Macaca mulatta: one gene and its partner. The protein of the gene in region 2 interacts with the protein of the main gene of each other region in a biochemical or structural test. Links are inferred from orthologs where the notes say so. Each region holds a gene or a part of one and is shown on either strand. Other genes may lie near its edges. The genes, in order: CCK and CCKBR.

Region 1 (4,584 bases), on a different chromosome or scaffold from region 2:
TGGACTAGTTCCCCTCACTGATTTCTACAGAGAGCCAACAGACAGATTGGCTTCTGCTCTGTATAACTACCAGAGTCTCCCCAGCACTTTGGAGTCCCACCAACTCCAAAACATGGTGGGGCTCAAGGAAAAGCAATTATAGGCTCTTCTCTGCACCATTGCAGCTCCAAGTACAGTCTGCAAACAGCAGCATTGACATCACCTGGGAACTTGCTCGGGCTTCCGCCCAGATGTGCTGAATCAGAACATGCAGTTTAACAAGATTCCCCAGGTGATTCCTGTGCACTCAGTTGGAGAAATGCTAGAGTGATGAAGGTCCCGCTAGCCTCAGAACATTAAGACCTCCAGTGTGTGAATCTCCTTAGCTGGGGCATAAGGGCCGTCACTTTCACTCTTCAGAGCCTGTTTCCTCATCTGTAAAGAAAGGATGATAACCTCTGTGCCACAGAGCCATGGAGTGATCAAATGTACGCAAAACCATGGCCAGTTACTGCCTGTAACTTGTTGAAAGGCCAAGAGAACCCCAAGGAAACCCTGGTGGGAGTAGGATTGGCAAATAAGATTGGGGATCAGGGTGGCCAGGGCTGGGCTCTGGAGTTGCCCACAGATGACCCTTTCACTGTCCAGCTGGCCTGTAGCAAAGTTAGCTTCAGGCCTGAGCTGCATTTCCCAAGCCCTTTCTGGGGACATCTACTACAAGGATTTGTCCTGGTATAGCATCTATCAGGCTTCCCTCCTTGCATGTTCTAAGGATCAAATGGAGCCCTTTGCCCTCAGTAGACGCAGGGAATGACAGGGCAGAATGAAATCACTTTAATCGCATAACAACATTTTCAGACCAGGAGTCACAGATGAGGAAAACATTTTGTCTTCCATTTGTACAATTCTGGTGAGGTGTGTGGTTGCACTGGACAATTTTTACAGACACATTTTTCACATTGAGAACTTAATAAATAGATACATACAATGTCAAACTCCACAGACAATGAGATATGGTGTGATTGTTTTCTTATTCTGCCTCCTCTGGGTTGGGAGGTTGCTTCTCGTTGGGCCGATGGAGGCTAGGTCCTCTAGGAGGGGTACTCATACTCCTCGGCACTGCGACGGCCAAAATCCATCCAGCCCATGTAGTCCCGGTCACTTATCCTGTGGCTGGGGTCCAGGTTCTGCAGGTTCTTAATGATGGACATTCGTCCAGAAGGAGCTACAAAGGACAGGGAGGAAGGAAACAGGGACATTACATCTAAAAGCATCTCTAGTTCAATTTGTGAAGGATAGCAATGGAAAAAGCCAGACACAATATAATAGACACCACCTTAAAGGTATCAAAGAGCTGTCAAAGTAGTGGAATTGATAGACCAAAATCTAAGAGAGGAGAAGGACCAATGTCTGTGTAACTGGAGAGAGGACAATATTTACAAGTTAGGGGTGTGCTTTGCGTTCTGCAAGTATTTAGGTGGATTCATTTTCTCCAGCCTTGCAGGCTGGGGACTTGCCTAGATTTTCCTTAGTCTCCCTACCTTTTGCTTTCTTTTGGTAGGTGGGTGTTTTCCTTTTGTACATGGCCTCAGCAGAAACCAACCAAAGATTTTTCCAGTACTTATTTATTCCTAAATTCATCCCTTAATATCCATCAACATTCCTGACTCCTGGAGAGCTCTTGTTGTTAAGGTAGCACAATTATAATATCTTGATGTTGGAATGGTTAAAAAAATAAAATCGTTGGTGGGAATGTAAGTTAGTTCAACCATTGTGGAAGACAGTGTGGCAATTCCTCAAGGATATAGAACCAGAAATACCATTTGACCCAGCCTTCCCATTACTGGGTATATACCCAAAGGATTATAAATCATTCTCCTATAAAGACACATGCACACATATGTTTACTGCAGCACTATTCACAATAGCAAAGACTTGGAACCAATCCAAATGCCCATCAATGATAGACTGGATAAAGAAAATGTGGCGATTTACACCACAGAGTACTATGCAGCCATAAAAACAATGCATTCATGTCCTTTGCAGTGACGTGGATGAAGTTGGAAACCATCATTCTCAGCAAACTAACACAGGAACAGAAAACCAAACACCACATGTTCTCACGCATAAGTGGAAGTTGAACAATGAGAATACATGGACGCAGGGAGGGGAACATCACACACCAGGCCCTACTGGGGGGCAGGGGGTTAGGGGAGGGATAGCATTAGGAGAAATACCTAATGTAGATGACGGGTTGATGGGTGCAGCAAACCACCATGGCACAGGAATACTTATGTAACAAACCTGCATGTTCTGCACATGTATCCCAGAACTTAAAGTATAATAAAGAAAAAAATAAATAAAGCCCCTTTGCTATATAAATACTCTTTTAAAAATATGAATTTGAAAGTTACATTCAGAAAGTGTTTTTCATTTATCAGTAAGTGTTTTGAATTGATGATCATTTTATTTTCAATGATAAATCAATATCAATTAAAAATGATATTCAGAAAAAGACTGTCAGATTAAAATCTTGGCACCTCAGTAATACTCAAAGAAGGGCGGGAGAGAGGTGATAACAAAGGTGATTTAAATCAGCCATTTTGACCAAAATGCAGTAACTGAACCTGAAATGGTCCCATTGGGATGGAAGTTAAGTCTTCAGGAACAGTGTGATCCTTTTGTAGAGCTCACACTGAGTGAGTAGGGACATGAAGAGGCAGTTTATTTGGAGGCATGGGACATAGTCCTAGCTCAAAGTTCATAGACAGTAGCCTCCTGGAGTACGAAATCAGTAGGACACCTTCTCCTGTGCAAGCTCAGTCTTAAGAAAGGTTCTTCAGGGACCTCAGTGAACAAAGCCCAGACCAATTCAAGGGTAGAGGAGTGGGGGACCACTCAATGGTTCCCACTGTGTTGGGGGCCACTGTGTCCCCACCTCCTGTGAGGCTGGTCTATATCCCTTCTGCATGAAGCTGCGCTTGCCAGCTCCTGCCCATAGGCTGAGTAGAGTCAGACTATGGCTTATTTATTGATAAATGAAAATGCAAAGGCAGTTACCCAGGGTAATAAAATTAAGCAAGTTTAATTAAAAACAGAAACAACACAGAACAACATCCCCACTCTTTCTCTCCCCAACCGCAACCCTTCCCTGTTTTGGAACCAAGAGTCAATTCAGCACATTTCAAGACTTTTTGCAGATACCCTCAGCCTATGTAGAAGAAAAATAGCCCCTGCTATTTAATTGTTCATTGTTCAGGTGAAATATTAGTCTTTGAATTCAGGAAAACCTATAGACCCAGTTACCTGTACACAGTCACGTGGAAACATGACCCATCCTCCTGCCTGCTGTGATGATGAGTGCCCACTAAGGCCTGGGCACACCCAAATTTCCATCTAATGGAAGCGAAGTGACAGCTTCAATACGAGCAAGCAGCCTCAGTTAACGGTGGGGGCACCATGTTCAGTTGTGGAAGCTGCATTTATCACACACCCTGACTTCCCTGTTCCACCTACAGTTCTGTCCTAATGTCATGTGTATTTACCAGGGTCCTCACTCACTTTCCCAGTGCTGACATAGAGTAGAGGCTTACATCTGATGTATGGAATTGATCAAAGTCTAATTCCTACGGGCCACAAGAGATGGACGGGCCTCCCTCTGAATCACACAAAGAATTTGAAGGGGCTCAGGGGAAAGCGAGCCTCAGGACAGGATTGTCTGCATGTTACTCAGCTACTGAGCTGCTGAATCACCTTATTCGTGGAGAAAGGCTTTGGTGCTGAGAAAACAGTGACATTCTGGGCTCTTGCTACAACTGAAGGGTTTAGCTCTTTTAAACTTTAAAATGTGGATTAGGTAGTACAGCTAGGAAGCTGAATGGCTTCCAGGCCCTCCTGGGAGGAGCAGGACTAGATAGAGTCTCAGCCCTGCTGTTGCGTAGATACGGAACAACATGTAGGTTACTCAGGCTTCTAGAGCCCCAGCTTCCACGCTGGCAAAATGGGTATAATAATACTTACTGTGCAGGGCTGTTGTACTGAGAGAGACAATATAGATGTAGCATTGAAGCTTTGCTGGGCATGGGGGAGGTGTCCACTAAATGCCTCTAGGTATCTTTACCCACTGCCCTCCAATAGAATTGTTTCTTCTTGGGCCATTGAAAGTGCTGCAGATATTTCCTAATGATAAACTCTTAAGCACTGCTCAAAGAATGCATTGTCTTGTTTAGAACATTTAAGCATAATATATACTATAGTGGAGCAAAAATCTGATATGATTTCGAAATATGTAAAATATTCAAAGAAACCGTGCAGTTTCTATAGTGTGAGTATTTATTCCTAGTTCATGTTTGTCACATAGAAGAGTTTGGTTGTTTTTTAGCTAGCGTTGATCCTAGGTGTTGGCATCTAAATTTCCAAGTGATTGCTGTTTTCTCCTGGGTTTGTTTGGCACAATTGGCTGAAGGCAAAGGGAGAGGGGGGCTGAGAAGAAGGACTAGAAAAACTTTCCAGCTAAGGTTTATGCTTTAAGAGCCATTGTCTAGTATTGGTTCTAGGAAATAATGTGGTAATGAGTTGTTTTTTTTTTTTTTTTTCCTAGAACAA
Region 2 (4,460 bases):
TGATTTTAACTATTCTCATGGCTTCTACCTCCTGTAGGCAAATACCTTCAAGTCTGTATTTCCACCTCAGACCTCTCCTGTAAGTTCCAGACCCCTGGATTCAATAGCTTACTAGGTAACCTCACCTGGATGATCCCACTAACATTTAGACTCAATGGGTTCCAAACTGAATTCATAATTCCTTCTTCCAAACCTATTTCTGCTGTTTTGTTATCTTGCTCATTGTATACAATTGCTATAGCACCAATATCCATTCAATTGTCCAAGTTAGAAATCTGAATGTCATCCCTTGACCTCTTCCATCCTCTCTGCTTCTAATCTGTTGATTCCATTTCCAGAAAAGGCTCTCAAACCTATACACCTCTCTCTGTCCCCCTTGCCATTACCGTAGTCTCAGCTAGCATCATCTTTCACCTAAACCAGTGTAATATAGTAACCTTCTAAAGTACCCCCCTGCCTTCCATCTCATGTCTTCCAATCCATTCTCCACATTATAGAACTAATCCTGGTAGTGCTACTGAATCTTTTAGTAGTTCCTATTGCCCTCAGGATAAAGTCCACATTCCATGGTCAGGTCTAGTAGGCTCTCTGCAAACTCTCTAGGCTGGTCTCCAGCCTGTTCATTATTCCCTTCTTAAGATATATGTTGTAGCCACTCAAAACTATGTCACAGTGGATAAAAGTGCCATGAATTCAAACTTGGAGCTTTTTATACATCTTTTATTTGGGATGCTTTCTGCCTCTTCTGCCTGTTTACTTGACTGACTCTCATATATATATATATATATATATACACACACACACATACACACACACACACACACACACACACACACACACACACACTTTTTTTTTTTTTTCCAACAGGAAGCTTAGAGCCAATCTCCCTAATTTTTTTCACTCTGTATCTCATTTCCTTAAGAGGCCAACCTTAATTCTCACGGAGGCTAGGCTGGGCTAGAGGTGCTCCACTTGTGTTCCCACTATCTTTTCCCTATCAAGGCTCTTCCACTTTGTGCTTCTATCCCCTGCTTGTCTGTCTCACCCATTAAGCTTTGAGCTCTGTGAAGTAGGAATTGTGTCAGTTTTGTTCAACTTACATTCCCACTGCCTAGCACAATCTCTGGTTCAATAAATATTGGCTGAATGACAAATCCAAGTGTGAGTGTGTAACAAATGGGCTGAGAAAGCATAGATTATTTCATGGGGTAAATACTTGGATTACAATTTATTCCAACTTTCCCTTCTCAAGTTTAGAAAAATTTATTTCCTTCACTAGAATCCCATCCTTCCTTTTCTGCCCACTCAACTTCAAGACCCAGCTCCAAGATTCTAGCCTCTGTGAAGTTCTTTTGGTGCCCACAGTTTAAACCTTTTCATGGGATTTCCACTGTGTCTGTGATTTTTCCATTTGCTTTTTTCTCTCTGCACTTGGCTATGGGTCATGAGGGACCAGACTGGGTCTAGTTTGCCTTGTACCCCCAGCACCTAGTCTAGGGCTGAAGAGGGAGCTTGGAAGATAGCTGGAGACATTACTTGCAGACAAAGAGAGAGGGCACAGAGCCTTGAAAACTCCAACTAGGGAGGCAGAGGGGTTTGAGGAGTGAAATGGAGACAGGCAGTTTTAAGGGGCATCTCCTAGTGTCCAGCCTAAATCAGATTTGAGGATCTTTTTTTGGGATGCCTGGGGGCTGAGGTGTCAGATGTGATCACATCTTCGGTTTCCCATTCAAGCTTTCCAGAGTGCTCCCTCCCTCAACCAGCCCCCTTCTTTTCCCAATCCTGCCTTCCTTTCTTCCTTCCCTTCTCTGTTGTGGCTTTGTGAACTGGATGTAAGAGGGAAAAGGAGATCTGCAGGGTTGGCAAGAGGAGCTCCTCGCCTTCTAACTGGTGTCTAGGAGGGGCTGCGTGTTGGGGAAGGGGCTGTGCTTTGGGGCAAGCAGCGGCTCTGGGTGTAATCAGGGGACCAGGATGTGAAGGAGTTCCGACCAGGTGGTGTGAAGCTATGAACCTGTGAGCTGTGGGGGTGAAGGTGTGAGAGGAGCTGTTTGGGGGCTGAGGGGCACGGTGTGGGCGTTTGAGGAGATAGTGTGGAGCTCGTGGGGGGACTCTATTAGTGTTCTGGGGTACAGTGAGAAAGAGCTTGTGGAGGGGGATGAGGGGGGCACCCACCTCGTGTCCCGGCTCCGCGAATGCGAGGGGGCTCGCAGCTGAGGTTGCCCACACTGCTGCTGTTGAGGAGAGGCGCCGCCGGGCGGCACAGGGAAGCCCCCGGCCCGGGTCCGGTTCCCTGCACGCTCCGATTCAGCTTTAGCAGCTCCATGGCCCCGGCGGAGCCCGCCGCCTTACTCTGCTCGGCCTGGCGGGCTCCCACCGCGGCTCCACCTGCTCACGCTGCGATGGGCTCAGGCTCCCACCGCCCTCCTTCCCCGCCTCCCTGCCCCGCCTGGTCTCCGCCCCCAGCCCAGGCGCCTGCCCTTCCACTCTCCCGCGGCTCACCCCGCCTCGGTTCCCGTCCCTCCGCCAGCCTCTGTCCCACCAGGTGACTGTGCACCCCCTCCCGGGCTCGGGAGTTCTGCCCCTCCCTGTGCGACTGTCCTCCAGGCTCGCCCCCTCCCTAGATCTGTCCTGTCTCCTCTTAGAGATTTCTCTCCTGCCCACCTCTCTTTATCACCCGCCCCCACCCTCGATTCCCCGGAATGACAGAGAGAGAGAGAGAGAGAGAGAGAGAGAGAGAGAGAGAGAAAGAAAGAGAGAGAGAGAGAGAGAGAGAGAGAGAAGACAAGAGTATTGGCAGCGTAGCGGGAGGTTTTGGGGAAGGGAGGGTAGGAGGCGTTGGGTAGAGACGGCTGCCACGGATCCAACATCTTTCTCTGGTGTATCAGGGAACGTGGAGGTGGCGTTGGAGACCGGGTCTGCGTGCGTCACCTGCTGAGGCGCGGATGCTTTAGTCTGCACCTAGAGCCGCATTTATGGTACTGTGTTGCAGTGACCGCAGTGACCGTGACACTATTGCTACCGTAGTTCCCTGCAGCTCCTCGCTGCGGGACTAGGGTAGCTCCTGCATCTGTCTCCGCAACCTTCACCTCCTATCGGAGGCTCAACACTCAGGCTTCCACTTAAGGTTCCCAAGGAGCCCTCCACAGCTGGGCGGGAGTGGGGGTGGGGCCAGGATTTGGCTCCAGGGGAGGCTTGCCAGGGGAAAGGGCTCCCGGGAGGCAGCTTCTGACTTGGGTGTTGAGGGCAGTTGGGGGTGGTGGCAAGAGCTGACAAGGATAAACCCGAGTAACGTGAAGATGGGATATAATTCTAACGCCGGCCCAGCGCAGACAAAAGAGGAGGAGACGGTTGGCTTTCTCCACCGTCTCCAGGCAGCGCCCACGCCCACCCGACACGCTAACGGCTCCCTGTTTACTCTCAGTGCAGGCAGAGCTGCCTGTGTAGGGTGTCAGGTTCCCACGAGTGGGGGCTGGAAGGGGACTGGGTCACTGGGGTGCAGCGGGAACAGGGCTGAAGGGTGCAGGACTGAACTGGGTTCATCTTCTCAGGGCAGGATTTGCCTCTTCTACTATTTCAGCCCTGCTCCTTATGCATTCTCCTATCCATTCCTTTTCTTCCCCAGATTCCTATCTCCAGATTCCTATCCATTCTTCAGATTCCAGATGAACTCCAATACGATGTGAAATTCTGTCTTTTGACCCCCAGCAGTAGCTGTAAGAGGTGGGGGGCGGGCATCAGTGGAAGAGCAAATTAGAGAATGGAGTCTGGCTTTATGGGGGATTCAGCAGGCCTTTATCCAATCAATCTTTTGGAGAGGACCTGGTTCAGCCAGCTCTGAGTTTATAGGGGCTGAAGCATTGAAAGAGAGTTGAAAGACAGTTTATGCCTGAGATGTCGTCAACTGCCCCTCCTTCCCTTCCTCCTGGCACTGCCTGTCTTGCCCATCAGAGAGCCTGGACCAGACGAGCTTGATTTCCTATTTGTTCAACTCCAGCGCAGGTGAGGCCTCAGATAACCTGCTCAAGTTTTCCCACATTGGATGGCAGTACGATGAGGAGGGAAGGGAGCAAAGGACATAAGGGAGAGGGGAGTGAAAATAGAAGTAGATGAACATTCACAATGTTCATTGTCAATTAGCAAACTATGCCAGTTCTAGGGGTGTGCATTAGTAGTCCAATATAGTTTGCCCCTGAGTAGCACCTACTCTAGTGGGGATTTTCCCAAGTAAGCCAATGATTGTAATATACGGTCGTTAAGTGCACCCATCGGGATGTACATATCAGAAATTTAGGAATTATTATTGATGCCTTACTCCCCTATGATCCTTCACCCCTGTGCTGGATGCTGTGATGCAAAGCCCAGAACTCTCTTCAAAAATGAAGGATTTATTTTCCAGTTGCGGAGAGTGCTGCTAAAAGATGGCCCTCAGCTGTCAGAACCCTTCAGGAGTTGCCTAAGCA

What was found.
Region 1: the proteins of CCKBR (region 2) and CCK form a complex in vitro, tested with the Homo sapiens proteins (3 studies listed by BioGRID). The link is inferred for Macaca mulatta from reciprocal best matches to the Homo sapiens genes CCKBR and CCK.

The regions. Positions count from the first base shown.
Region 1 is NC_133407.1:105,587,478-105,592,061, forward strand, and holds the end of CCK (cholecystokinin), read right to left. Parts: intron 1,205-4,584; coding exon 1,071-1,204; 3' UTR 799-1,070; downstream 1-798. UniProt on the Homo sapiens protein: This peptide hormone induces gall bladder contraction and the release of pancreatic enzymes in the gut. Its function in the brain is not clear.
Region 2 is NC_133419.1:59,528,790-59,533,249, forward strand, and holds the start of CCKBR (gastrin/cholecystokinin type B receptor), read right to left. Parts: upstream 2,935-4,460; 5' UTR 2,324-2,934; coding exon 2,173-2,323; intron 1-2,172. UniProt on the Homo sapiens protein: Receptor for gastrin and cholecystokinin. The CCK-B receptors occur throughout the central nervous system where they modulate anxiety, analgesia, arousal, and neuroleptic activity.